4 linked regions of the Mytilus edulis genome follow. The main gene of each other region encodes a partner of the protein of the gene in region 4 in a complex. Links are inferred from orthologs where the notes say so. Each region holds a gene or a part of one and is shown on either strand. Other genes may lie near its edges.

Region 1 (7,778 bases), on a different chromosome or scaffold from region 4:
TCAAAGACTCAAATAACTGGGTTTTTGCAAATCATTTCTTACACAATGGAGAGAGAAATATATGTATAAAACATTTGCATTGCAAAAAATGGAGTAAGAAATTCTTCCAATAATTTTAGATGAAAAAAAATGCAGAGTTCTAGAATCTTAAAGTTTGAAAATATTCGTCTAACAATGTCATCATCCTACATATAGGTGCTTACCTTTAATATGATTGCAACCTATGTGAACTTAGAAGAAGGTACACTTTTACATTAAATGAATTTCTTATAGGTTTCATTTCAAATATTTGTTGGGAAATATTGAAAGAAACATACCTGTGACTTAAAGTCTCTTTTATACTGTGAAAGTACTTTTGTTTGTGGGGTACCAATTTTCATGGTTTTCATGGATGACTTTATCCTCGAATTTAAGTGTCCAACGAAATAAAACAACCATTGTCCAAATCAAGACATGGAAAGATCCCTATCAGTAGGTTTGACTACTGATATGATTAAGAGAATATATTAATATATTAAATAACGCCAAATCTGTGAATACTTTTATAGCAGTCAGAGAATTACAACAGCATGCAGGATTATACCCATTTTATCTTTAATAACCTAAACTGTACAACTTTTCATCTTTTAATTATCATAAAAATAATTTTGATCGATGAAAGTCAGATTTTCGGCATTGGTATGCTAGTATGATAAGTGTTCATTTTATATCCTCATAGATCTACTCTAGTACATATGGGAAATAATAGTTTCATGCTGAGCTTGATTTTGGTAAGAATTTTTTGACAATTCAAGATACGTTTATAGCACTTGTTTATATTACTGTTTTCTTTAGGTGACATGTTTATGGCCTAATTAACACCTTTGATGGTCTTTAATCTGTTGATCACTTTATCATGGGTTAGTGTTATCACAACGATTTACACGGGTCAATGTTTCCTTTGCAATTTCCTCAATCCAGACTATTTGTAACCTTCATTGCTAATGGCTTTAATTTTTTTTGATTTTTTTTTTCTTTTTTTGGAAAACTGAAATCCACGAATATGTAAATTTTGTTCAAACCACGAAAATTGATACCCACGAATTAAAGTACTTTCACAGTACCTTAAGAGTTAATTTGAAGAGTTCTAGATAAGTTTGAAAGGTAAAGGGTGCTACATGTACCTGAACCAATTTTACCATAAATTATAAACACTTTCAAATACATGTATATATGTATTCAGTCATATTTGAAATTAAATGGCACCATGCTCTGTATTTCTGAAAGAGGATCATAAATAACTCATTTAACAAATGTGTTATGTCAACAAGTCAGGAACTGCATAATACTTTTCTAGTATCTGTTTATCTGAGTTCACCCTAATTTTGGATAGGGCTGATGCGACACAATCCTTATATTTTGGTAGGGTTTTGAGATTTGTGTCTAGTCATGTTTTTTGCATTCAGATTTTTAAGGAGAAATATTTACTGTTCCAGGTTATCTCCAAATAGTTCTTCTCCATCTGCCTCTTCCTCAGCAACTCCAGCATCCATTTCACTCTCATCTTCAAAGGGAGGTAAATCTCGTCCAGGACTGGAAGTAAGTGGGTCCCCACGACTACTCCTTCGCCCTCTAGAACCCCTAGAAGGACTTGTGGCTGTGGAAAATGGATCTGATGATGTTTCTTCCTGAAATATACAAAAATGCATATTAACTTTCCAGATTTTCTCTTGCATGTTACAGTAAAAATTTCCAGATTTTCTCTTGTTTATTACAGTAAAAATCTTTAAAATACTACAATATACAAAAAATAATTTTTAGTCTGAAAACATGTTTCATCACCCCAGTTCCCCCAGTTATCTTAACGTGAAGTAAGTTATTTTAGCGGGGTATTAATTTTCGCTTGTTTTCGCAATAAAAGAAAATCTCCAAAATAATTCTGCCGATTAATAAATGCACATACAAAGGTATTGATTAAAGTTTTAATCCACTAAAATAATAACCGCCAAAATATTTATTATACCTTTTTCAATGAAAATCCTGAAATTTTATACGTGAAAAAAAAACCGATATGGTATCTGGTTGGTTTTAGTTTAAATGTTTGCCTCCAATATTATGGTCAAAACCTCTCAAGTTAACCCCTCTTACCCCGGTTCAAATCCTCACTCATCTATGGTTAAACTCAAGAAACCCTTGAATGACACCAAACCATTCAGATTTTTGTTTAATGCCTCGTCAGGGCCTTAAAATAGCTATACATATAGAGAGAGTTACTTATAGAGTTGTTCTGAATAGCAACTTGAGTTGTTCAAGTGATACCCTTAAAACTTTAAAGTAGGCACTAGCGTTTCAGGTATACTCAGCCCTTACATGTATGATTAAAGTCCTATCGCTTTTTGTTCGCCTTTACTGGACTTCTGATGATCCCAAAGGTTCCTGTAAAATTTTGACTTCATAATACAATAATTTTACATTATATCTGACGCCACAATGGAAAAGTGATTGTTATGTGGCGTCATTAGTTCAAGCGGGACAGATTCTCAAGTCAGCAAGGAATAGATTTAAGGACATTAAGGTGTATTGCCAAGTGGGCCCCTGCCAATATCAAACCCTGAAGAGGTAAGGTAGTAATAGTTTTACACATGTACGAACTTGTATATATCTTGGTTTTAATTCATGTCTACAGATAGCGGAGGCCTATGGTTTGTATGTAATCAGAATAAATTTTGTGGACCCTTTTGAAAAATTTTACGACGAAGGACTCACCGAAGACAAACTTTCACTAAATTTTATACAATGATTATGTTGTTGATGCTTTAAAACTGTGAAATTTCATGAGCACAGTTTAAAACTGCCTTTAAAGATCATGTCTTCAAATGATTATAATTGTCGTAGAATAGATTATATTGCAACAAAACTTACTGCCATTGTTTTCCTTTTTTTCTTCACAATGTGCAACTTAAGCGCGGGAAAGGGTCAATAGGTCACAGAACAGGAAGTTTAAAATGGTAAAGCTTATTACCAACGTCAACGTACGTTTGCAACAATCAAAGATCATACTATTATCGTATTCTTCAAAACCACATACGAATATTTATGAAAATTTAAGAATATGTTATAAACTTTGCATTATTTAACGGAACCAATTGAGTGTTAAAAAGTTTTCCATGTCCCAGATGTAGTGTTTTATCATAAAGATCTTTAAAAATAATATAAAAGGCAGTGTCTGCGCGTACCCGCATGTACGAATAGTCAAATTGCCTTTCTAGGCTGCGCGTACCCACATCTGGTTTTATAATAAAATGCCGTCGGATCGGGAATGAAACGTGAAAAATATACAGAATGTGTTGCAATTAGTAAATAAATTGATTAAAACTGTTCAGAATTTTTATAAATATACACATATATATATATATATAGGTAAGTAAACAGTTTTTTCTCAGTTAGTAAATATTCTTAAAATGTACAGAACTATCAGGCGTTAAATTTCATACAATTGTATAAAAGAAATTCGGAGTCTATAGCAGCCGCAGAGACAAGAAGAACCCCGGATCACAAAAATTAAAGAAGATTTAAAGTACAACAGAATAAATTTTTCCTGCATTCATGGGGGGGGGGGGGGGGGGGGGGGGGGTTGATTCTTGGTGTTTCTTTTAAAAACGTAAGCTTGGTTACAACTAAAAATTAAGATCACTGAAAGAAGGGAAACATGCGACTGGATATGTATAAAGTGTAAAAAAAAAACCTACGGGCACGATCAGGACTCGTTGGCATGTGATTGCTGTTTAGAATGGCAACATTTGAAATGTGCTGGGTTGAAATCTGTGCCAAAACAATCATATTGGATACATAAATGTTTTATATATTTTAATATAAATTTCAGTTTCGGTTTTACATTTTACTAAAAGATTATTTTAAAATATCATATGGGTATATTTTTAAATATTTAAAATTTTATTCTTTAAATTTTCATTTAAATTTTATAATAGTATTAATTTCTATCATGTTTTTCTTTTACAGGGACTGTACAGTTTCATTTTCCATCATTGTGCATTTAATTTTGCAATGTTTATTATGTATCATTATTTAATAAATACAATTTGAAAATATTACTTTTCATACTCTTCACTCGTTCTACGCGAAATCCCCACATTATCGATAATTTCCGTATATATTTCACTTTTCATTCCCGAACCGATGGCATTTCAATAGAAAACCGGATGTGGGTACGCGCAGCCTAGAAACCGGATGTGGGTACGCGCAGCCTAGAACGGCAATTTGACTATTCGTACCCGCATGCGGGTACGCGCAGACACTGCCAATATAAAATGCACGGTGGGACATATTTATGGAATAGATTATTTTAAGTCTTTAAGATACAATACTTGGTACCATAACTATAATTTATGGTGATAACACTGTAAAATCTAGTATAGTGTCTTTCTCCTTTATACACAACTTTTCAATATGTTTTCGTTTTGGTGGAATTTTCAGTCAAGTGTAGAGACATATTATATACTTAACATGTCTCTGGTAGGTTTTGTCATTGGCCGTAGCTCCGGCAAAATAACGATTTGTATAGTTTTGGTATTTTGTCGGTCTTATTTCAGATTTTTAATCAAGACTATATGAAACATTTTTTTTAAGAAACTATTTATGCACAAATGATATATGTGGCCGGCTAGATGATGTCAATAACCTTTTTGTTCACCTCAGTTGCCTTTCTAGTCATTCAATTTTGTGAACTGCACTCTTCAAATTACATGTACATACATTAATTTCTGTTGAAGATTGAAAAAAAAAATGGAAAACAATAAATTTGCTATCAATCAACTTGATTTTTGACTGATAATATGAAGAGCTACAGCCGGTTTTTGGAGTACTTTGAAACGTGAAACGATGACTATATAGAATTTATGAAAACCAAACAAAACTTTAAAAATAATCTTTAGTCTATGGTGCAATAAAATATAAGATTGACAAAAAAAAAATAATGTTCATAGAAATCTAGATATTTATTCTATGAATGTTGAATACTGAAATGTGTATATCTGCAATTTTTGCAAAAGAGATGCAGACATTAAAAAATCAAGTGTTATGTTCAGTTCATGTCTGCAGTGGCAGCACCTTACTGGTGCCAGAATTAAAAGAAATTCACCAAAAAGCAAGGCACTGGTTTTGTAGCGCTCGTACAGCAGTTTGATTTTGTTGGGTGTAAACTTTTGATTCAAAACTAATTGGATAATTTTATTAAAAGTTTTAATCAGAATGTCGATTTTTTAATATGGGTTCGTATGCTTTGCTTGTGTCTATTATATATTTTTTAAAAAGAAATATTTTTTAGGCTTCCTATTTAAGAAAAAAAGTTACTTGTATACATTTTAAAAAATAAGACATGTTTTAGAGACTTCTTATTAAAGTAAAGAATATCAAACGTTTTGTATAAATGTTTAAAGAAGATATAGTTGTATAGAGATTTCTGAGATTTCTTATTAAAGTGTATGTTTCTGTATTCTTTATATTATTACTTTCTATAATTCTATTTTAATCTTAATTGAGACCGGCAAAATTGCAAAACTCTATACAAATCGCTATTTTGCCGGAGCCGGTAAAATAGCCACTGCCCAGAAACTTCTTCCAGTAGAATTTTCGACATTTGTGGTCATAAGTTATCTTTGATATAAGATAGTGTACACACTTAATGTTCCATTTATATGTAAACTATAAATTCGATAATGTCAATTTCCCTAAGATTTAACTTACTGAAGACATTTTAAATCAATAAATACGTCACAAACTCAACAAAACCAGGCACAAGATAAAAAAGATTAAAAAAACCTTGATGTTAGTTGTCAATATTATCTTCAACACACGACAGCTTGTTATACAATATGTTAAGAATAAAACAAAAGACAGCTACTCAGGACAGTTTCAGGATTGTGAATTATGGCGATTTTTTTTTTATTTAGAACTCGAATTCCTTTCTCCCTAATGATACACAGATGCATAAAAGATAAAAACCAATAATTATATACCCCAAAAAATAAGAAATACCGTATCAAATAATACTTGCAGTTAACCGAAAGGAAACACAAAGTACTCATATAAGTTTATGTCATCCTACACTTATATCGTGTGTCCTATCATAAATCAACGTCATGAACAGTATACAGAAGGGCCTTTTCTTGTACAATGTCCAGAATGCATTTGTTCATAATTTTAATGCAAAAAAATATAAAAACATATAAGTTCTGCTTCAAACTACAAATTAGCAAACTATTTAATCTCCCCTTTATACAAGAAATATAATATGCAATGGTTCACAACAGCATAAACCGTACTCATTATAAGTCCAATAGTCAAATGAAAAGATTTACAGAAAATATCTCAAACGTTAAAGCTTTGTAAGTGACAAAAAGATATATGCGAAACAGCATATCTTATCAGATTCCTGCATGCGCTTTACATCTTTATAATTTCATAGTAGCATATACCAATACCTTTGTTTTGTCAGAAGGTAATGTTTTCTCGACTGTAAATGACGTCTTTACACTAAATCCATTTAAAGTTGGACGTGTACTGATTGATAATTGCCTAGTTTTAGACACAACCTAGATACTTAGGTACATGATTTTCTTATTATTTCTTATTTACTGTGAACTAGTTTTCAGATATACTGCGAGTAGTCTCAGATTTATATTTTTTTAGTTTTAGTCTCTTGATTTGTTCTGTGTATCGCTTTTAAGAGTTTTTAGCCCTTCTCAAGTGATCTATATAGTTTGTTCTTACATATTGTGCTGTTACACCACTGTCCCTGGTTATGAGAGGGTTGGCACGTATGCAAACATGTTAACCTTGACACACTATGTATGTGACAGTCCCAATTCCGGAGCCTGTAATTCAGTGGTTTTGTGTTGATGTGTGTTTCTTATATTTGCTTCTCGTTTATTGTTTTGTAGATAAATCCGGCCTTTAGTTTTTGCGTTTGAACTCTTTAACATTTTCCTTTGAAAAACTTTTATAGCTTGCTATGCGAGATTGGTTTTTCTTTGTGGAAGACTACACGGTGACATATAGTTGCTAGCCCTCTACGTTTTTTAGTTTCTTGTGGAGAGTTGTCTCATTGGCATTCATATCACATCTTCTTATCTTTACTTACTTCAACAAGTTAAGTATATATGTCTTTGAATTTTGTTATAAGACAAATTGCAGTTGTATTTCTTAAACAAAATCGGGTAATGTTGTTTATATTGGAATACTCATCTGGTGTAAATAAAACGTAAAACAAAACTGAGGATATATCAAAATTAGATAGAGACGTAACCATATCCACCATATCATACATCATCCATACATGATTTATCCTTGTTGGGTTCTCGTGACAAATGTTTTACTGTCATGTGTTGTGTTAATTGATGCTTGACAACGTTTGGGTTTTCATCAATACACTATTTGATTGAAATTACATACATGTATATCAGTTTTTGTATCTTAAATATGTTATTCAAGAGATTATTTTTATACATGGAGTAGTCCCAACTTCACCTGAAGGTAGTTCATACCAGAATAAAATAAGGATATGCGGTATGACTGTCAATGAGTCAACTATCCGACAGAGTTTAAGATAAGTGGAGTTTAAGCATGAGTTAAGCCTTTTTCAACTGATTTTTAAATTTCGTTCTTATGTTTTTAACCCCGCCACATTATGTATGTGTGTGCCTGTCCTAAGTCAGGAGCCTGTAATTCAGTAGTTGTTGTTTGTTTACACTATGTGTTACATGTTTGTTTTTCGTTCATTT
Region 2 (7,935 bases), on a different chromosome or scaffold from region 4:
ATTTTTATGACCTCGAGGCTTAAAATAGAACATGGGAAACTTTACCTGTGTAGACATCGAGGTTTATTTTTAAATCAAATTCCATAATATAAACACGAAAGAAACTGTTTTAAAACTTTATTTCAATAACACAAAAGTAAATATGAAATAATAACGAAAATAAGGATGCATTCAAGAAAAATATACTTACCAAATGACCGTTTCCGGTCAAAAATCTCGTCAGTTTTAACTAAGCATATCTAGACGGCAATAATTTTCTATGCAATAAACCGAAAGGCCACTTGTAGAGCTATGCATATAACCGGACAATTTAACATTAGATGAATGGGAAATGGTTTTGTGCAGGAGAAAACTATGCAATTAACCGAATTATGCTATTAAGCGGTATGCAATTAAGTGGAATCGACTGTATAAGCTACATGTATTTAATCACTAATTCTAACCCCTCTATCAGGACATCAAACAGAAAAGCATTATCTCATGAAATTTGATTCCTAACTTTAGATATCTTTGATACATAAATATATTCATTAAACAGGAAGATGATGGGCAATGAATCAAAAAATGTGTCACACATGATCTTTGAATAATAAATAATTTCATTTGTGTAAAACTACAAGTACAAACTTACTGATCCAATAGATCTTCCTCTTTGAGCTGCAAAATAAAAATAAAATGCTGGAGTCTGATATAAAATACAAACTAATCAAACTTCAGCACAAAAACAAGGAGATTGAAAATTTATCATAAAAAATAAATTCAAATGTTGTAATATTACTTGCACTAGTTAGCCTTTACATTTAACAAACATTATCAAGTTCAACAATGACAAATAACATCCCCTTTACACTAAAACAATTACAAGTTCAACTATTGCAAAGCTTTGTCTAAATTCTAAGTTACACTTATAAAACATGGCAACATCAGTTTGATTCAAAATGTAAAAAATGTTCAAAATGATATAAACATGATAAACATGATGAACATCAGTAGAATACTATTTCATGTATTTATAGAATATTATTCAAGTTGTTCAATGAATTACTTTTTATTGACTTACGTGTAACTGGTCGCTCTTGTGTGTGTGTTCGTATGAGAGGTAATGCCATCTCTATTAATACTGGTTCTGTAAGAGATAATGCATGTAAATTATCAAAAAATCATTGCATAAAGTCTGAATACATGTATGTAAAGATAGATGGATGATGTAAACAGCTTGTACAAACACATTCAGATAAACCATCAATAAGTACTGTATAACTGAACATATTGATCATGATTGATTATCAAAATATTCAACAGCAATACAATAAAATATTATAAAAAAGAAATTGTCCTGATTCATGATAGGCATCAGTCATGGGTAATCAACCAAATTACTCTTTTACCTTTTAAAGCAGTTTCTGACTAACAATTTAAATAACAGAAAATAGGAAAGATCTCCTTGCCCTTTTTTAAGATGGTGGTCCATCACACTTGTTGATATATATATATATATATATAGTGGATCCATTTGCTCCCAAAACACATAAGCCCACTGGGTTCTTTCGAATTTGCACCCTATTTTTGTTCAAAGAAAGGCTATATTACATCCCAATATTTATATTTTCAGGAGAAAATAAATCTTAATCTTATGAATGAATTATTGGGTTTTTTTTGTTGTGATTAATAGATGTTTTATCCTTAAATGTTCATGATGTTGATTATTCATAACTGATTATTTGGTATTAAAAAGCTAATATGGTATTATTGTTATGTATTTTGACATTCATTTTTGTTGTTATAATGACCTTGAATTACAATTCCTATATATCGTCATTATTATTCCTGATAAATATATTTTTTAATTGGGAACAGATTGACTTTAAATATGGGACAGGATCGACTCGGGACAGACAACATGGAAGCAAGACATGTAGATGGTTGTTATGCTGTACATGATGCTGTATAAACTATTTACCATGTTTTTCACTTGGAAAAAAATATTTATACAGTCTTCACGCTTAGTGGCAGCCCATGATGGTAAAATTGCTCTGGGGCCTGTAAAAATCAGACCTACAGGCCAACATAATCTTAACTAAAACTTTCCAAAAATTGAGCTGTGGGCCTGTAGGTTTAGCAGTTCAGCGTGAAGACTGTTTATATCATATAAATGTGCTTTATTTGTGGCATTCCCTTCATGTTCCTTCACCTCAGATGTCATCATATCATACGACTAACAATGATTACTCTAGGTAGAAATGATATTTAACGTTAACCATATTGCTGTTTTCTTGAGTACAGCGCCAAATGTTTCCAGAGAGCATGATTTTCTTGGCAAAGCCATATTGTCTTCTCCAAGACTTAAGCTGGGGACATCTGAGACGCATGGCAGCGCTTTAGATCAAAGGGTTAAGGTGCTGTAGTGTAGAATCACGCTCTATAGTTACACAATTCAAGTATGGCGAACGCAACCTATAAAAGTCATGGAAGTGGGGCTTTCAATTCTAGAACCCTTCTGGATAACCCTTTACAGCTTAACCCTCTTGCTTCCGGAGGGATACATATGTCAGTCTACAACCACTGTGCTGGAGGGACACATATAAATGTATGTCCATGTTTTGATTTATGCAAGCTTCTGATCATTGCTGTTCCTCTTTCAAAATGAAAGACCGAACATTAATATGTTTCTACAATGGCTCTCACATGTAACGGTCATTACAACATGACGTCATATATTGATTGACGTCATTGTTTGGCATTTCTTGTCACAAACGTCGAGTGGTCGTATTTTCTGGCATATGAAATGCAACCCTGAAAAACAACTGGCAGCAAGAGGGTCAAGAGTGCAAAATTCATCACAGAATTTGCACTGCCACTAGGATAAATAGTTAATAATTTTATGAAATTATGTCTATTATTTCTTGAAAAAAATGCATTTTGAGCTACAGACTGTCTACTTCTACTTTTACCGGATAATGGCCACAATCAACTAATTGAATATTTTGCCATGACTTCGGTGCGCATACGGACCCCTCCCCCCTCCCCCCATATTGTTTGAATTTAGTTCAGCTTTGTCACCGAGGCTTTAAAAGCCTCGACTGACGGCGCTGACACTACCCCAGGAGGTAGACTGTTCCAATCTTTGATGGTTCGTGGAAAGAAAGAAAATTTCCGGTAATCATTTGATGCTGCTGGAATTTGGAAGCTTCTGTCATGCATATTTCTTGACAATCGTTTAGGTGGAATCAAACGATCTTCCTTTGTCACAGCAACTTTCTCGTTTACTATTTTAAAGAGCATGGTTAGTCTTGCATCTTTTCTTCTTTGTTCAAGTGATCTCCATTCTAGGTTGTTTAACATCTTGCTTACACTTGAGTGATTTTAGTGTTTATTCATCACATAACGTGCTGCACGTCTCTGAACCATCTCAATTCGGTCTATTTCTGTTTTGTTGTATGGATCCCATACAGACGTTGATCCGATGTTCAGGTTTTGTTTTAGAAAGCCGATTGTTCTATTGGCTTTGTTGCAGATGTTGTTAACATGGTCATTCCATTTCATTTCGAACGTGAATGTGCAGCCTAGGTATTTTGCGCTTTTGACAAGTTCTAAAGTGTGACCATGTAGTTTGTATGATGTTGCAATGGTGTTGTTTTTCCGGCTGATGGTGAGTACATTGCACTTGTCTGGGTGGAAGGCCATTTTCCATTTGGTTTCCCATATTGCCAATTTATCTAGATCTTTTTGTAGGTCGTTGGAATCTTTGTCGTTTGATATTGTAAGGTAGTCTATGGTGTCATCAGCAAATAGGCGAATAGTAGATTTAATTCCATCAGGCATGTCGTTGATGTAAAACAGGAATAGCGAAGGCCCAAGGACTGAGCCTTGGGGTACCCCAGATTCTACATCAATATGTGATGAGCTCTCTCCATCCACTACTACTGCTTGTGTCCGATGTGATAGGAAGCTAGCAATCCACCTATTGACATTTCCTCTGATTCCGTAGTGTTCGAGTTTATGAACGAGTAGACTGTGACCAACTTTGTCGAAAGCTTTAGAGAAATCCATAATTAGTACGTCTGTCTGTTTACCTGCACTCATGTTTTTAGTGATGTCGTCCACAAATTCAATTAGCTGGGTTTCACAAGAACGTTTGGAGCGAAAGCCATGTAGTAATGGGTATAGAATTTGGTGGCGATCTGCATGGTTCATGATATGGCTTGTGATTATGTGCTCTATGAGTTTGCAGCATATGCAAGTCAGAGATATTGGTCGGTAGTTCTCTGCTCTATATCTCTCGCCTTTCTTGAAGACTGGGCTAACATTGGCATTCCTCCAGTCAGATGGTACATCCCCTGTTTCGATTGATGTTTGGAAGATCAGTGTGAGTATAGGGGCTATTTCCTTCGCTAGCTCTTTCAGTAAATCTTGGTCTTATGTCATTTACTTCCTGTCTATTGCTTAGTTCTAACCAAGTCATCATATTCGTTTCTAAGATCACCTGTCAGTGTGAGAATTGATATAATTGTCAGTAATAATTTCTTGCTGACCCGAATGATGGCTAAATAATTTATTCAACATTTGTTCAATGCCAATTCCAATGGGCAAACAATATTTTTGATGAGTTTTCAGCGATTCGAGGTGATTAAAATATATGCAATAACACGTTGGTTGGGTTTTGTCATTAATATATTTGCATACGATCTGATTTAAAGCATGTTTTTAGGGATATAACTACCTTATTATTTCTCACTTTTCGGCATTGACAAAAGAAAATGAAATCTCGTAAATTCTCGTGACGCGATGTATGATCATGTATACAAATGTTATAATATTTTTTTTTAATTCCAATAATTACAATCTGTGTGAAACCCTTTACATTTTGACCACGAAAATTGTTACTAAATTAAAATTAACTTAAGAAAATTAATTATATATTATTTATCACGTTTTCGGCGGGATTTGCACGGCAGGCGGTTTTTCGGAAATCCCCGAAATTCCGAATTACATTTATTTGTTTTGAAAGTTTAAGTTAACAAATGATTTAATGAAAACAAAGGTAAAAAATGAAACAGATGTCATGAAATTTCAATGAAGAAACAAACATAACCCTTTAACTGTGTCACAAAGCCACTGAAAATAACAGTAGCATTTTCCCTAACTTTTGACAGTTTTACAAACAACATGCTGTCAGTGCATCATCTGTGAAAATCTCAAAACATAAAAGTTTAACATGAAATTGATTGATTAATACAGATTTTTTTAGTAATTTTGTCACAGGATTTTTTTACGGAGTTTTTGCTCTGTCTACTGATTTAGTTTATTTGAAAGGAACAGTTCTCTGACTATACTTTCAAGACTTTTCAGCCACTAACTGCAGAAGTTGCTATATCCTACTGTATAACTAGATGTTAGAGGAAATGAAATAGCTGATAAACTAGCTAAAGAGGCAAATCAAATTCAAAAAGAAGCTCATATTACAGTAACTAAACAAGATATTAAAACAGCAGCAAGAATTTTAGTAAATAAAAAGTGGCAACATAGATGGGATAATAGTGATACAGGAAGATTTTATTATAACTTTCATCAGACTGTCAGCAAAAAATCTACATTTGATTATCCAGAACATAAAACAGCAAAAATTATTAGAAATTTAAGATCCGGATACTACCTAAAAAATTACAAGAACAAAATCAATCAAAATATAGACCCCAAGTGTGAATGTGGTCAATTAGAAACTGGAACATTATTTATTATTTTGTGAAAATTATGAAGAGGCAAGACAGAAACTTATACATGAGATATACTTTAACACAGGATCGTTGCATATTGATTTGGAACTTTTATTGTCAATAGAAAAAAACGACAATGTCTCCGTCTCTAATGAAACACTAATGCGATTGTTGGGTGACTTTATTTGCGAGTCGGGCCGGTTTGATTAATGTAATGTTAAATTTTTAAATTTTTTTTTTTTTTTCCTTTAAATTTTCATGTTAATAAATAAATGTATATATCTTTTTAATTTTTGTAAAAATATGTTAAGCAGTTGCCACCTAGTAGTATATATCTTAAAGTACAAGTGAGTTGTTTACCAGAGTGAAATATATACACGCGAGACTTGAAAAATTACAAGGGAGACAATCCAGTGTCAACAGCGACACCTACAGAATACTGTATTCTAAAATCGGTCATCTTGATGGGAATCCGGGTCCGTTCACCCAGATTCATGTTCACCCAGGGTCCATTCGCCCTGATTTTTATTTTTTTCTAGTTGTTGTCTAGTCGCATTATTTTAAGTATTTGAACAAAGTATTCTGTATTCAAAATATGTTAAAGTTTGAATGTTTTTTTTTAAATTGACAGAATATTTATATTGCCGCAATCAATTTATCATTTTCCCTTTGATTTGCAGAGTAGAAATTTCAATGTATTCATCTTTATTGATATTTGTTAACAAAATAATTGTATTCGGTCAATCACAAATGTATGGCAGTATGACTAGTCTTAGACTTAGTAGAGTATAAATAAATGAACTTGTAAATTTTATCCGTTTTTAAATATTAATCCACCAAAAGACAAGTATCACAACAATCAGTGATTTGAATTATTTTGTCATTGAACAATTAATTATCCTAAACAAGCCTTAAACTTTTAAATATTTCAATATTTCAAGAATATACATGATATACATACCATAGAAATATCTAAATAAGTTAATTCAACTTCAATGCCCTCAATATTAATCTTTTTATAGTAGGGCGAACAGACTCTATAGGCAAACGAACTCAGAGCGAACGAACCTAGGGGGAACATGTTATTAGGGCGAACGGTCCTGATACAAAATGTACCTCTTGATGGTTTCTTCAGTATTTGTGTTTGTTTTTATCACATGGGAAAACTTCCCATTGACGTCACTACTCTTATACCAGCGTTCAAAATTAGTGCAGAGTACGTTATTTTTTTACTCTTCTAAATAAAAAAACATTTCTAAAGATATGTTTTCATTGTTGAAATAAAAATGTTGTATAAAAAAGTATTGTATAAAATGCCATTTTGTTAATGGCTATTTCAAACCTGACTTCTGAATGCCTATTGGCTAAAACATTTCAGAACTTCCCAAAATCCCACTTCCTGCCTCCATATACCTAATCACTATTTATTCCATTCCGGATAAGTTCTAAAATTACACAACTTTTTCATCCAGTTGAAGCTTTCTGGGATCCTGTTTAAACAATGCACCGTGCATGATACTTTTTAATGAGACCTGTTTAAACTACCGTATATATATATATTTAAATGTATATCAATAAAAAGTACAGTAGAAATAACATTACAAAGTATGGCTGAAATGTCCCTTCATCAGTCAGCGATTATTGGACTGTTGTCATCTGTAAATCTTTGTGATGTCCAGTAATAATGCTATAGACTAGAAAACAGGTGTTTTATATAATGTATGTTTTTATTTTAGATGATGCAATGCTTTTTGTTTTTGATAGTTATGTGTGTTAATCAATGCTTATTGAATTTGCTTGTCTTCAATAAAATCCAAGAGTAACTAGCTACCAGTCTTGTGAGTAGAAAAGAAATTCTTTTGACTACAGGCTTTTTACATGGTTTAAGTAAATAATTATTTTAGATCCATTATAAAATTATGGCACCTGTCCCACAAGCAGTCCAGTTCGAGTGCTAGGCCTATTAACAAGCATGGAAAATAGGTTTTAAATTTGCTTTCATTGTTCAACTTATTACAATAAAAATTATTTTTTTCAGCTTTAGATTGTTGTTTAAATAATATACAGAATGTCTGAAGGGGACTTTAAAATGTTCTGCATCAGAACAGATGGCAGCTCTGGTAGAAATGGTGCCACTAAAGCTATGTTTGATGCATATGCAGTAAGTAAATTTATATATAACATTTTCAGAAAATGGCTTCCAATTTTATTTGTTTGTGCA
Region 3 (7,152 bases), on a different chromosome or scaffold from region 4:
ACAGTTTGTATTTTTAAAATCTATATTTTAATTAGATTGTGTATTTTCTCATTTGTTATTTTCCTCCCAAGATCAAATTAAGGATGGGGTCGATTACTTTCAAAATGTAATCGACGAAATTACAATTACTTTAAAATTGAGAATGAAAATAAGGTAAAGTGACAACAACCCCAGTCGGAAACCAGGTTGAAATAGAACAAAAGAATCGAAGCTCTTTGTTAGAGAAGGCGATAAATGTTTACTGTATTGTTTACTATAGTGACAAAATTTTTAAAAGTTAATAAAAACAAACAAAATTGCAATTTTCTTCTCAATTACGAGGTGTTTTATTTTAAAAACACCATTTCAATTTATCTAGTACATAGTTAAGCAGAACAATTAGATATCAAGTCGACGACATGGGTATCTTTCAAGTTGGATGAAGAAAATGCATAACCTCCGATTTTTATGAAAAAATTACCACGGACGGAAAACATATCAATCTATTAGTTCAGTAATTTTCGTGTCTGCCCTTCCATTATGTGACTGAAGAAAAAATTCCAAAAAATGGGTAACAATTGCATCGAAAAGAGAAAATCGAGTGCACCTTTTTATGTAAGGGCGTGTTTGAGTTAAATATTTTGTCTTGATATCGTACAAAGCAAGAATATTTCATACATCGTCTCGCTTCAGATTCTATCATTTTTATATATTAAAGCTAGAGGTTGACTTTATAACACAAAAAAATCACAGTACTAAAAGATGAAATATATGGGTCAAGTGAAATACCTAACTCATGAGTCACAAAAACAGAGAAGGTGTGTTCGAATAGCTATTTTTTTACTGAAAGTACTTGACGACAGTCTTTCAAGTTGGATGATGAAAATGCATATCTTCGAAAAAATCTAATTGTTTGTGTGTGATTACTAGGGTTTATAGTCTTCATACACTAAAAAAATCTAGTCTGCCCTTCCACGAATTATTTAATTAGAATTTTTTTAAATGTTTATGAATTTTCGAAAATTCCACCTGACAACCGATCAGACAATAGTTTTAAGTTGAATCAATGCAGACTAGATTTTTAACTGATGCTCATTAGCTAGTTAATACATTAGTCTTTTAAAATACAACTGACATATAAGGATCGTAATGGTGCAATGTGGATAAATTTATCGGTTTCCAAGAGCAATATTGGTAGCGCGTCATCCCTACAATGGCTTCCATTTCTACGATTGTGAAAATGAACTGGCGTAATGGGGAGATAATTTTGACGAAGTAGACTCCTGACTGAACCCGACCAAAGAGCAGACAATAACTAAACGCAACCAATGGGTCTTCAACGCTGTGGGGAAAAAACACCTTGAGGTTGGCCTCGGCTGGCCCCTTAAACATGTTTTGTCACATCTCAACCTCCCCCTATACATCTAGCCAATGTAGAATAAAGAAACACACAACAATACTCACAGAAGAACTCGGTTTAAAAGAAGTTCGAAAAGGTAACAAAAGAAACTAAGCAAAATGACAATGATACATAAATTAACAAGGGACTACTAGCAGGTATTGACATGCCAGCTTCAGACCTCAATTAAATTGATTGAAAGATTATGTGTTCTTCAATGAAAATCAAGCAAATATAACTATATAGTAAAGGTTATGTCTACAAAATAAGCACATAATGAAAACTGTTGTCTGGTTCATAAAAAAAACGTTGGTGAAAAAACTGTTAAAATAGGTGCAATTAGGGTATCCTCACGTTAGCAACTTCACACCTACAAATAAATTTCATGACCAAAATAAAAAAAAGTCTAAAACAAATATCAATAAAATGCTTCGTCGAGCGCAGCCTGATACAACCGCAGATGTAGATTTGGCATATAGAAAACACCAAGTATTGTATGTCAGTTGAAATCAGACATATTTTAATTTTGGACCCTTCAAACTTTAATATGGACTAATTTGAAAACAGGTATCAGGTTAGCCCGAACATCTCAGTTGCAGTAGACTAGGATCTGCAACTACATATCTCCTGAATTTCATATGATAGTCCCACAAAAATGTTTAAAATGTGTAAAAAAAATCCTAGCTTCTCTCATGTGAAAGTCACGGGTACCTTTTTGGTAACTACTTTATGTGATGCGACTAAATGTGAATTATTACACTTTATAGTGACTAACCAGGCCAAACAAATAATTCTCAAGAAACATGCAGAACAAGAATGTGTCCACAATACAGTACACGGATTCCCCACTCGCACTATCAATTTCTATGTGAACCGTGAAATTGGTATAAAAATATAATTTGGCATTGAATTTAGAATGATCATATCATAGGGAACATGTGAAATCAGTTTCAAGTTGATTGGACTTCAACTTCATCAAAAACTACCTCGACCAAAAACTTTAAACTGAAGCGGGACAGACGAACGAACGAACGGACGGACGGACGAATGAACGAACAGACGGACGAACGGACGCACAGACCAGAAAACATAATGCCCCTCTACTATGGTAGGTTGGCCATAAAAAGAAAACAACTTGGAACAGCACCAGCCGTGCCAGACTATGTATGAATAAAATCTCAGATTGGAATAGTATGGAGGATATCGTTTAGTAATTAATATGTCATTGTGAATAGCAAAGAAAGCTATCAATAATCCTGCAGATAATGCAATTTTATCAGGTAACAGCCTGGTTTATCGACTAAAGATTTTCTTATCTCAGGAATAAATTACCTTCGCCGTATTTGGCCGCCAATTTTTGGGAATTTTTGGTCCTCAATGCTCTTCATTTTTGTACTTGTTTGGCTTAAAAAAATATTTTGATCTGAGCGTCATTGATGAGTCTTATGTAGACGAAACGCGCCTCTGGCGTATAAAATTATAATCCTGGTACCTTTGATAACTATTTACACCACTTGGTCGATGCCACTGCTGGTGGACGTTTCGTCCCCTAAGGTATCACAAGCCCAGTAGTCAGCACTTCGTTGTTGACATAAATGTCAAATATATGGTCATTTTTATATTTTTCTGTTTTAAAAACGTAATTTTTTTTTTAAAACTAAGGATTTTCTTAACCGTATTTCGCACAACTTTTTGGAATTTTGGGTCCTCAATGCTCTTCAACTTTGTACTTGTTTGGCCTAAAAAAACAATCTTGATTTGAGCGTCACTGATAAGTCTAATATGGTCTTATATCAGTATTTGCTACATAAATATATAAATGAGAAATAATCAATGTAAAAATGGTATTTTTTTTCAGAAGAAAACCTAAAACAAGTTATGGTAAAACAACCCCAAAAAGACCCTGACTTCTAAACTGTTGGAACCCCTAAAATCAATTTATTATAACCTTTTTTTTTGTGTGTATAATTGAACCTTCTGGTACAATTTTATAGAGATCCATTCACTTTAACTAAAGTTACTGCCCGGAAACCAAATGTGTCTTCGGACAGCAACGACGTAAAACTGGCTTTAAACTATAACATGAAGTTGATGTAAAAACAAAATCATTTGGTCAAAATTTAACACTGGAAAGTATGGGGAATCAGATTATCTTTTTTAAGAAAAAAAAAACATACTCCCTCTAGCATTTTTAAGTTTAATGATCGTTCCCTAAACATTTCCCACCTGAACTTATTATTTTATTTTAGACAAAAACTATATGTGGGGCATTAGTCCTGAACATGCATGAATTATTTGCCACTGGACGTTAAGCAAACCAACAATAAATCAATATGTAGGACATAGTCTTTGTATATAGCTGGCATTTAAGGTAGCGCCTTCATCAGTATTACAAAGAGCACTTTAACCTTTGGATCGTTTGATTGTCCTTCTTTTTAGTATAAATACCTTTTTTTATATAAAAAGAAGCTTAGGTCAGTGCAAATTTTCAACTAATAAAAATCATTAATGAACAAATAATGAAAAATAACCATGTTAGGAATAATTATTTCTGGCTACGTGCAAAGAAAAACACAATCTATGACTAAGGTCACTGGTGTTCTAGCAGGAATAGCTCATGAGTAAACTAACATTTGCAACCACAACCACAGAATACAGCACTCGGGATCAATATACATAATGTATCTACTGTTGCTTTGTCCATGGTAGAGCATCTTTGTTCACACAGACAGGACCGAGTTCGGAACTGTAAATGAGGTTTTAGGCAATTTTAACATACCGGAAATGTCAAAAGACGGAAGCGCGGAATTTTAAAACGTTGAAACACAAAGAAATGACAAGTGAAAGTGTCGATGATTATTTCAGTATTAGTGACATTCTTACAACACAAGAAAGATTGCCATGCAAAGTTGAACTACCTATTTACAGATTAGGCAAGAACACCGCAAATATTCCCTAAAGACGAACCTTTTTGGTGTTTGGAAAAAGGGGAGGGGAGAAATTGTATCTTGCCTGTGAAAAGTGTGATCCTGTCTCTCTGTTTTACAGGAGACACGAATATGAGATAATGCCATGATCGCAGGCTTAGAATAATTCTAAGACAGGTGGTCTGAAAAATACTAAACCTTTTTGAAACCCCAGAGTAATCTATGAAAATAAATTTTAGGACATCAGGGTACCAGGTACAGTTTCTGTCTGGATGGTATCAGATCGTTCTGGCCTCAAGTCGAACCGTCCCAAAGTCTATCAGCCCACACATAGCAGGCCCCAAGTCGAACCCTCCCAAAGTCCATCAGCTCACAATCAGGCCCCAAGTTGAACCGTCCCAAAGTCTACCAGCCCACACAAATCAGGCCCCAAGTATATCCAGCCCCATAATATTAATTAGGCACTGGCTACAGTAATATGGAAATGTAACAATAATAAAAATATTAGACTAATTGCTGGAATGTAAGGTTGGGTAAGGAACCGATTATTATTATGAATGTAACAATAATTATCAAGTCTACGGTTACATTGCCTGATTGTTACATTAATTCACTTCAATGTATGCTGGGACTAGTGATGTGTATTAAAATAAAACTTGCATACAATTTTTAAAAATTTTATTTGCAATATCACATTTCTACAAATTCAATATGTTGTATTTGGGAGCATGCTTTAGTCTGACAAATCTTGGTGCAACAAAGCAGCTATCACAAACAAGTGGTGCAGCAACATGCACGTCTGTATTTCATAGCCTCACCGGACACAATTACGAACGATTTTTGAACTTTGATTAATATTTTTTTATGTAGACTACTTTTCTTGAATTTTTTATACCATAGAATTTAAGATGTATGAAGGCTTTCCATTTTGCAGCATATCCCACATTTTATGCACGTTGGGATACTTTAGTAAGATTTGCATGATCTCGTTTTACGGGTCAAGAGAGCCACATATGGACGCAATTCCGAACAGCACTATATTGATATATCTTGCAGAAGAAATCAATGACAACAGTCTATATTGATAAAGCATACATTAATCTTTATCTCAAACACATTTTCATAGGAAAATAAAAAGCACAAGTTTGTTTTTTTACGTCAATTACTTCAGCAGTGGTTGCAGACGAAATGTCGGTCATGTGTAAAGGAAAGATTTCTGATTTTTTTTTTTTGTGTAAGTTCCTCCTTTAAAGGAGCACTAAATTCAAGTTTATCCATTTCGATGGTGTACTTATCATTCATATATGATTTTTTTTATATTGGTCAACATTTCTTTCGGAGTTCTCTGGACTTTTCAATAAAATTAACGTATTTTCTTTTGACCATACATAGGTTCACAAGAGTCTAAAAAACGTCAATTTGGGGTTATTTGGGCATGATAAAAGGCATCACGCATATGAACAGAATCAGGAGATCTTTTTCTTTCTATATATTAACAAAAGAAGGCAATATGCACTTACCTTTATGTATTTTTTTTTATATAACTTCCAGGTCAGATTGCCGTTCTTATAATATTTTCAAAATGATTTTGTCATCGTCATCAACATTCACCAAGTGCACATAAATTGTATTATCATGAAAACAAGGGATTTTTAGTAGGGTTTTTATTTATAAAAACATTTATTGATAAATATAAACAAATATAATCTCAGAGGGCAAACGTTGGAAATTGTTCGTAATTGTGTCCAGTCGTAATTGCGTCCTGTGGGGCTACTGTACAATTCCATTATGTACTATACTTATTTTTAAGTTTAAAAAACTTTCAATGTCTGTCATGCTTCAGCTGAAAAATTATGTTTTTACTCTTTGATCAAGTATTTGTATATTAAACTCCTTGTTGGTATGTTTATATTTTCATCATTTTTTTGGTTGGAAGCACATGTACATGTGAGGTTGTAGTATGATTTCATTACCGTCCATTACTGATTTTATGTTCACCTCCGATTTCCATATCCAACTTGTCATATCTTAAAAACCCAATAAAACATAAAAATACAAGTCAACTGTGAAGGCAATTGATGTAATAAACATTTGCCGACATGTTGAAACTGGTGGAATCTGTTTTCTTTTTCAGAGTCTAGATATTTTGTGATAGTAATTTCATTCTTATCGGCGAAAAAAAGGAAGCAACAGTTACACAACTATCATGACTATAGAGGGTTTAAGTTGAATCAACAGTTACACAACTATCATGACTATAGAGGGTTTAAGTTGAATTACGCTAGGGTACATTGAAGTGCATTAATGTAACAATAACGCAATGTAACCGTAGACTAAATTATTATTGTTACAATACATTCGTAATTAATCAGATCCTTACCCAACCCTGTATTATGGCAATTAGTTGCCAATGTAGCAATAATAATATTTTTATTATTGTTACATTTCCATGTAACTGTAGCCAGTGCCTATTAATAAGATAATAAATTGTATTTAAAATAGGTAGAAAAATGTAACTGAGGAACCATAGCTCTTAGGTCCTTATGTTATTTTTTGGACCATATGACCACAAATTGTAAAAAAATAAGATAAGGACTTAAGAGCTACGGTTCCACAGCTAGCAAAAAAATGAGAATGATTTGAAAATTTGTAATTTCTGCATATATACTTGTATACAGGTATATGAAGTAAGATACAAATGTAGTGCATTCTTTTTTTCCCTGCAGAAGATGATAAAATAAATGATAATCAGTTATGTTTACTTTTCAAGTACATATAATGTATAGTTTGTGCATGTAATATTTGCAACAGTTTCAGGCCATATTTACTCCATCAACATTAATGAAA
Region 4 (5,529 bases):
TGGGACAGGCGCAAAAATGCGGCGGGGTTAAACATGTTTGTGAGATCTCAACCCTCCCCCTATACCTCTAGCCAATGTAGAAAAGTAAACGCATAACAATATGTTTTGCTATTTGCATGACTTGGACTCTGGAGACTCAACTTTTTATGACAGACCTTCCAAAGACTTCACTACATGTTAACAGACTTTGGGCAATTTGAGCTTGATACATATTTGATGATTGATATTTGCTCGACATTCAGTTAAGTTTGATAAACATGTGCATGTATTAATGTTGTGGAATATTATTCAATAGCTCTCATCATTCAATAGTCAAGTTAAAACCCTGAATTTAATACTGTTGTTGCATTAGCCGATTTACCCATCAACAGACATATTCCTTGGAAAAAATTAATAGTTAACCGAGTTTCTGTGACATACATGTACATGTAGCTGTGAAAATAACTAACAATAAGGGCAATATTAATCAGTTCACCCATTGGGCCAGGTGACCTACATTAAATGAAATAGAATTAATCCAAATACTGTCTGGTATTGTCTATTGATTTTATTTGATAAAAGTTACACACTTGCTTTTGGCTTATTGCACATTAAATAAACTTGATTCAACAGTGTTTAACCATGGACAATATGTTCCAAAACTCCTTGTCTAATTAAATGTTCACATTCAGATCTCAATAGAAAATGCTGGCTATTTTTCTTCAACAATACAATGTTACCATCTTGAGTTTCAAATTCACCGTGATCCATCAAACACCTGACTTCAATGAATAAAGTTTTTGGTGGTTTAAGATCTTGTGTGAGATCAAGTCCCCCGTGGTCTCCTATAGACCTCATATAGTTTGCTAGCAATTTGTTATATTTTCCAAACCACTGAACTTCCTGTTCACCTAGGTTCAATTTGACATCCGAAGGCAGTACACTTCCAAACTCCCATCTCATCTTCTTAATGTGTTGTAATCTGTTATAAATATATGCTAAAAGACACCTTTTATTCCTTTCCAAAGCAGCATGCCGAAGTTGTACTCCTGAAAACAAACCATTTTCTCCAGCAACTGTGGCGCTGACATCCTTCTGGTTTTGTTCAAACAAAGCTTTCATCTCCTCTAACACGTGTCTGGCTGTATCTTCATTATATGGACCAAGTGTGCTATCAATTGTTCGTTGTAACTCAGCAATGAGCTCTAAAGCTTTTTCGGCTAACATTTCTACGATGTTCAATGTATGTGACTGTTTATCAACTTAAATTCCCGCCATTTATAACTCCCCTCGGAACATTTTATTATCGGGTCTCACTAATTAGCGACAACAAGCGTCAAGAAGCGACAACAAGCGTCGACAAGCGACAAGAAGCGACAACAAGAATTATTTTAGCGACAACAAGCGACAAGAAGACTATTTAGCGACAAGAAAACATATTTTTTTTTTATTAGATATAAAGAAATTTGTATTTAATGTTTTTTTTAAAATATACGAGCAGATATGTCTAATTAAAATGTTTTATTATATAGATAGACGAAGAAATGAAACATAAATTTGTGAGGAAGAAAGAGATTGTGAAGTTTATATTAGTATATTGGTAGATGAAGAAATTTAACATTTGTGAAAAAGAAAGAGATTGAGGTTCTTTTTTTTTTATTTTTAAATATGAAGAATATGTATAAGATAATGTATGTATCTGTTTTCATCAAAGTCAAAGTATGAATAAACGAATGGAGATATATATATGGAGCGGGCATAACGGAATATAATATTTTGATTCATTTGCTTAATACTATGCTCTAAGTGTACTCTTGTTATGTCAATTCGATGCTTTATTTGTAGAACTCTCAGCCACGCTTTGCCATCTTTATTATTTAAGCGTGTTTCCAGACCCATGAGTCAAGAATTTTTGCAATGCAAAAGCCTTTTCTTTCTCCGATTTAATCTGCCATAGAGCTTTTGTGCATTGAAAATGGCTTACTGAGGAGCTTAGCTCAAAGTCTCCATGTCCATAAAGTGCGCCATTGACAAGACTTTCTTGCAACTTTATTTCTTTGTGAATTAGCTTATTTGACACCATCTCTATACAAGTCAAAACTCTCAGTCTTGTTGCAAGACTTTCATTGCCACACATGTCCACTGACAAAGAATTGAAGAGACAATTGCCATTTGTTGAGACTTGGACAGGGTTTCTTTCTTTAATAATCATGCTTTGTTCATTTAATATTTGTCTAGAAACCCTGTCTTCAACCAAAGGTATAACTTCCCTACTATTTCCTTTGCTCAAGAGGAAAACCCTTATCCCAAGGGATTCAGTTTGACACGGCGATGTGACAAAATAAGTGCGTTTCAATATTTACCCTTGCCCAAGGGGATATCATGAACGGACGTGTCCACTATAGTATAATTATAATACTTCTAATATGCATTTATCGAAGTTTTTCCCTTGCCCAAAAGGAAATTGAAACCCTGTACCAAAGGGTTCGTTTGATACCGCGCAGTATCAAAGACGTACAAAGTAACTGATTTATTAATCAAAGGTAAACCGAGTTGCGTTTTAGATACTAGCAATTGCACAGAGCACGTACTTTTGCTAGAATAATACTGAAATGCTGACAATTTACTTTATACTAAACATAAAAGTTGAATGGCTTCAGTCAGCTTGGTAGAGCAAAGGAAATGCACACGCTATAAAATTGAAACAAAAACAAAAAAAGGTCAACTTTCCTTTGAAGGATTTATTGAAACAAAAACATGAAATATTATTTCCTTTCTAACAGTATAATTCATTGTTCTTGATAGGAACAACATTAGATGTGGCTTCACCCTAAGGTAATAACAGTACACACAATGTGGAACATCAAACGAGATTAACGAGTCGCGTGTCCCCTGTTTTATTGCTATAATAACATCCAATTAACACCTTCAACTTGTACACGCGTCAGACTATACAATTACACGCGCCAGAATATACAATCATTGTAAATAGTGAATACCTGTTGAAAACTCAAGATTGTCATTAATTTCCTTTCATCTTCAATCAATATGCATAAACATGATAAATATCGTTTAATGAGGCATTAATAAACAAATAAAAAGATGAAAACATTCACATTTCAATTTTCTTTTCCTCCTGTTTGATTTCAGTTCTTTGTATTTCACAATTTGTGTCAATATTTTCAGGACAATGATGCACAAATAATTCATTTTGCGAGCTTAATATATATTGCACGAAAAGACTAGAGTTTTAAAAAACAAATTATAAAATAAATAATTTGTTCTAAAACACAAGGAAAAGTAATCTCATAATACAATAATTAAACGTAATACTGGCTGTTATTCATAATAGATGATAAAATATTATGTAAATAATGTTTCATTTTTTTCTATCAATTTTAACTTTCTTGTCGCTAAAATTATTTTCTTTTGCATATTCTTTTAATATTTATTGCAATAATTAATTTTAATTAAAAAAAAATGTTTTCTTGTCGCTAAATAGTTTCTTGTCGCTTGTTGTCGTTAAAATAATTCTTGTTGTCGCTTCTTGTCGCTTGTTGACGCTTGTTGTCGCTTCTTGTCGCTTGTTGACGCTTGTTGTCGCTAATTAGTGAGACCGTTATTATCAAATCATTCATGGTTCTAAACAATGAAAAAGTGCGAGGAGCTCCGACAAATAATTAAACTGGGATCCTAACTCACTTCTTAGCCGCCGACTGAAAGCGTAGATTAGGACCCCAGACCGAGAGGTAATCACGTGATATCAACATGACCTTTGGAAAATTATTTTCTCCCAGGGCTAATAAAATGATGTGATTTTTAAATAAAGCTGTTTTACTGTGCATCAGTTAGCACGTACAAAAGAAATCTATGCAATTAAAAATTCTCTGTTTTTGACGTTTTCAATCTTTATAAACCTCTTTGATTTGTTTCATAATATATGATCATATATCTACAGGGACACCTGTTTTCCCTACAACAATGGAATAGCCCATCAATGAAATGTAATTTGATAAGGGGCACTCTTTGATGTTGTGTGTGTGTGTAGATTCCTGAAGATTCTACGCAAGAGTTTGTGCACGTAAGCCACCATCCAACGTGGAACTTTCTGGTGATTTCTCAGACCCTTCATGTTACTTGGTACTGAAGTTGTCATTCACTATTAAACAAATTGTTAAAAAATAAACAACAAAGTTTTGAAGACTAACTCAGGAACAATGACAAATCAGAGGTATTTGTTGTTGCTTATTTGCGTGGCATCAGTTGTTAGATGTGAACTGTTTACATCTTTGGCCCACATGGAAAGAGCTTTATTTGCAGAGAGAGAAATTTCTTCAAGAATAAAAGAATATGTAAGAGAAGAAAAACAAAGATTGGATGCACTCTCTAGGTGAGAATACCACTTTTTATTTTAATAAAACTAAAATATATACATTAATAATAATAATAATAGCCACCAGACTTTATATGATTAACTGAGGCTAGTACACTTGTACCTAGCTTGTATCTAGTCCTGTAGGTTGTCAGTTTGACATGTCTTGATGTATGGCTATATAGCTGATCATTCGATTGTGTGGTACTGGTAGATACAAAATAGAGTTATTTTATGATTGTTTTAAGATAATTCTTCTACAATTTTTTTAGATTCATATTCGAAAGGATGTACAAAAGTCATTTAAAGTTTTAAATTATTTAAATTCATAAAATATTATTAAACAATTTTGGTTAGAAGTTGACAATTCCTCATGTTCATAAGAGGATTTTTAAAGAGGACCTTTACTTCCATTTTGTAAAAATAAAATTGAATAAATGGGTATCCCAAAATGACATGTCCATGTCTTCATCCCTTATTCATGTTGATCCTTGGTCACTAGCTAGTGACCTGTACATGTATAGTTGTCTCATTGCATTGACAAGCATATCAAATTTTCCTTTTTTTATTTTTTTAATACTACAAAAAATGTACATGTAAAATATTGTCAGATAAAATGTTATCCCAAACATTTGCATAATATTCAGTAATACATGTAGGTGTAAAATACCAATTTAAAGATAAAATTGCTCCATTTATAGTTGTATCTGATCCAAAAGGTTTGTAAATTTCCATATGTATATTGCTTTGATTTTGTTAAGCAGAAAACAGGATGTACTCAGGGGCGGATCCAGCCATTTTAAAAAGGGGGGTTTCTAACCCAGGACAAAGGGGGGGGGGGGGGTTCCAATTACATGTCCCCATTCAAATGCATTGATCGTCCAAAAAAAGGGGGAATTCCAACCCCTGGAACCCCCCCTCTGGATCCGCGCCTGGTACTATTTTCCATGTTTCTTATCTGATATTTTTCGCTCCAAATAACCAAGCTCATTGAACAGGAAAATACTATTGTAGGAGTTTGAACACCAAATGTTACCATAAGCAATAAAAATATTAATTTTATATACATTGTAAGAAGACATCTGCATCTTTTAGTTTTTACAAATAATAGTAATAAAAGTATAAAACTTTTGTTGAAATTTCAATAAAACTGCTACACTCTACACTTTTAGCAATGT

The links.
Region 1: DNA replication complex GINS protein PSF1-like (region 4) and DNA replication licensing factor mcm2-like share a complex: the UniProt entries of both Homo sapiens proteins name them as parts of the CMG helicase complex. The link is inferred for Mytilus edulis from reciprocal best matches to the Homo sapiens genes GINS1 and MCM2.
Region 2: the proteins of DNA replication complex GINS protein PSF1-like (region 4) and DNA topoisomerase 2-binding protein 1-A-like are in contact, whole or in part, in a cryo-EM structure (PDB 8OK2), measured with the Homo sapiens proteins. The link is inferred for Mytilus edulis from reciprocal best matches to the Homo sapiens genes GINS1 and TOPBP1. Residues at the interface, in NP_066545.3 of Homo sapiens: Asn43, Gln44, Val47, Asn48, Lys51, His66, Arg91, Tyr94, Gly95, Ser96, Asn100, Arg103, Phe104, Arg119, Ala122, Met125, Glu132, Gly133, Leu134, Asp135, Thr137, Gln138, Asp139; in NP_008958.2 of Homo sapiens: Leu490, Leu491, Ser492, Gln493, Tyr494, Glu495, Asn496, Leu586, Ser587, Arg588, Thr589, Val590, Val596, Cys601, Glu602, Val603, Ala605, Thr606, Val607, Gly608, Val610, Lys629, Pro636, Val637, Pro638, Val639, Met640, Thr641, Arg726.
Region 3: the proteins of DNA replication complex GINS protein PSF1-like (region 4) and DNA replication complex GINS protein PSF3-like are in contact, whole or in part, in a cryo-EM structure (PDB 8Q6O), measured with the Xenopus laevis proteins. The link is inferred for Mytilus edulis from reciprocal best matches to the Homo sapiens genes GINS1 and GINS3. Residues at the interface, in NP_001085502.1 of Xenopus laevis: Met1, Phe2, Cys3, Glu4, Ile7, Ile10, Arg11, Leu13, Gln14, Ser17, Asp18, Gly19, Gln20, Leu21, Glu49, Arg55, Asp57, Leu58, Pro60, Thr61, Lys63, Phe64, Arg65, Cys67, Cys68, Arg71, Arg74, Cys75, Val77, Ala78; in NP_001080618.1 of Xenopus laevis: Trp2, Pro4, Tyr5, Met6, Pro7, Val8, Glu16, Asn17, Phe18, Leu19, Ser20, Leu21, Glu22, Asp23, Leu24, Leu25, Ser27, Gln28, Ser37, Phe39, Pro40, Arg41, Leu42, Phe44, Leu45, Pro63, Trp65, Leu66, Gly69, Leu70.

What each region holds. Positions count from the first base shown.
Region 1 is NC_092344.1:14,624,066-14,631,843, reverse strand, and holds the start of DNA replication licensing factor mcm2-like, read right to left. Parts: upstream 3,016-7,778; 5' UTR 2,908-3,015; coding exon 2,902-2,907; intron 1,668-2,901; coding exon 1,468-1,667; intron 1-1,467. UniProt on the Homo sapiens protein: Acts as a component of the MCM2-7 complex (MCM complex) which is the replicative helicase essential for 'once per cell cycle' DNA replication initiation and elongation in eukaryotic cells.
Region 2 is NC_092353.1:31,999,172-32,007,106, reverse strand, and holds the start of DNA topoisomerase 2-binding protein 1-A-like, read left to right. Parts: upstream 1-4,928; 5' UTR 4,929-5,041; intron 5,042-7,752; 5' UTR 7,753-7,782; coding exon 7,783-7,875; intron 7,876-7,935. Other genes in the region: zinc finger protein 1-like, read right to left, coding at 632-657, 1,061-1,109. UniProt on the Homo sapiens protein: Scaffold protein that acts as a key protein-protein adapter in DNA replication and DNA repair. Composed of multiple BRCT domains, which specifically recognize and bind phosphorylated proteins, bringing proteins together into functional combinations.
Region 3 is NC_092348.1:25,067,619-25,074,770, forward strand, and holds the start of DNA replication complex GINS protein PSF3-like, read left to right. Parts: upstream 1-4,146; 5' UTR 4,147-4,211; coding exon 4,212-4,311; intron 4,312-7,152. UniProt on the Homo sapiens protein: Required for correct functioning of the GINS complex, a complex that plays an essential role in the initiation of DNA replication, and progression of DNA replication forks.
Region 4 is NC_092352.1:54,417,421-54,422,949, forward strand, and holds DNA replication complex GINS protein PSF1-like, read right to left. Parts: upstream 1,280-5,529; 5' UTR 1,207-1,279; coding exon 616-1,206; 3' UTR 528-615; downstream 1-527. Other genes in the region: prolyl 4-hydroxylase subunit alpha-2-like, read left to right, coding at 4,197-4,369. UniProt on the Homo sapiens protein: Required for correct functioning of the GINS complex, a complex that plays an essential role in the initiation of DNA replication, and progression of DNA replication forks.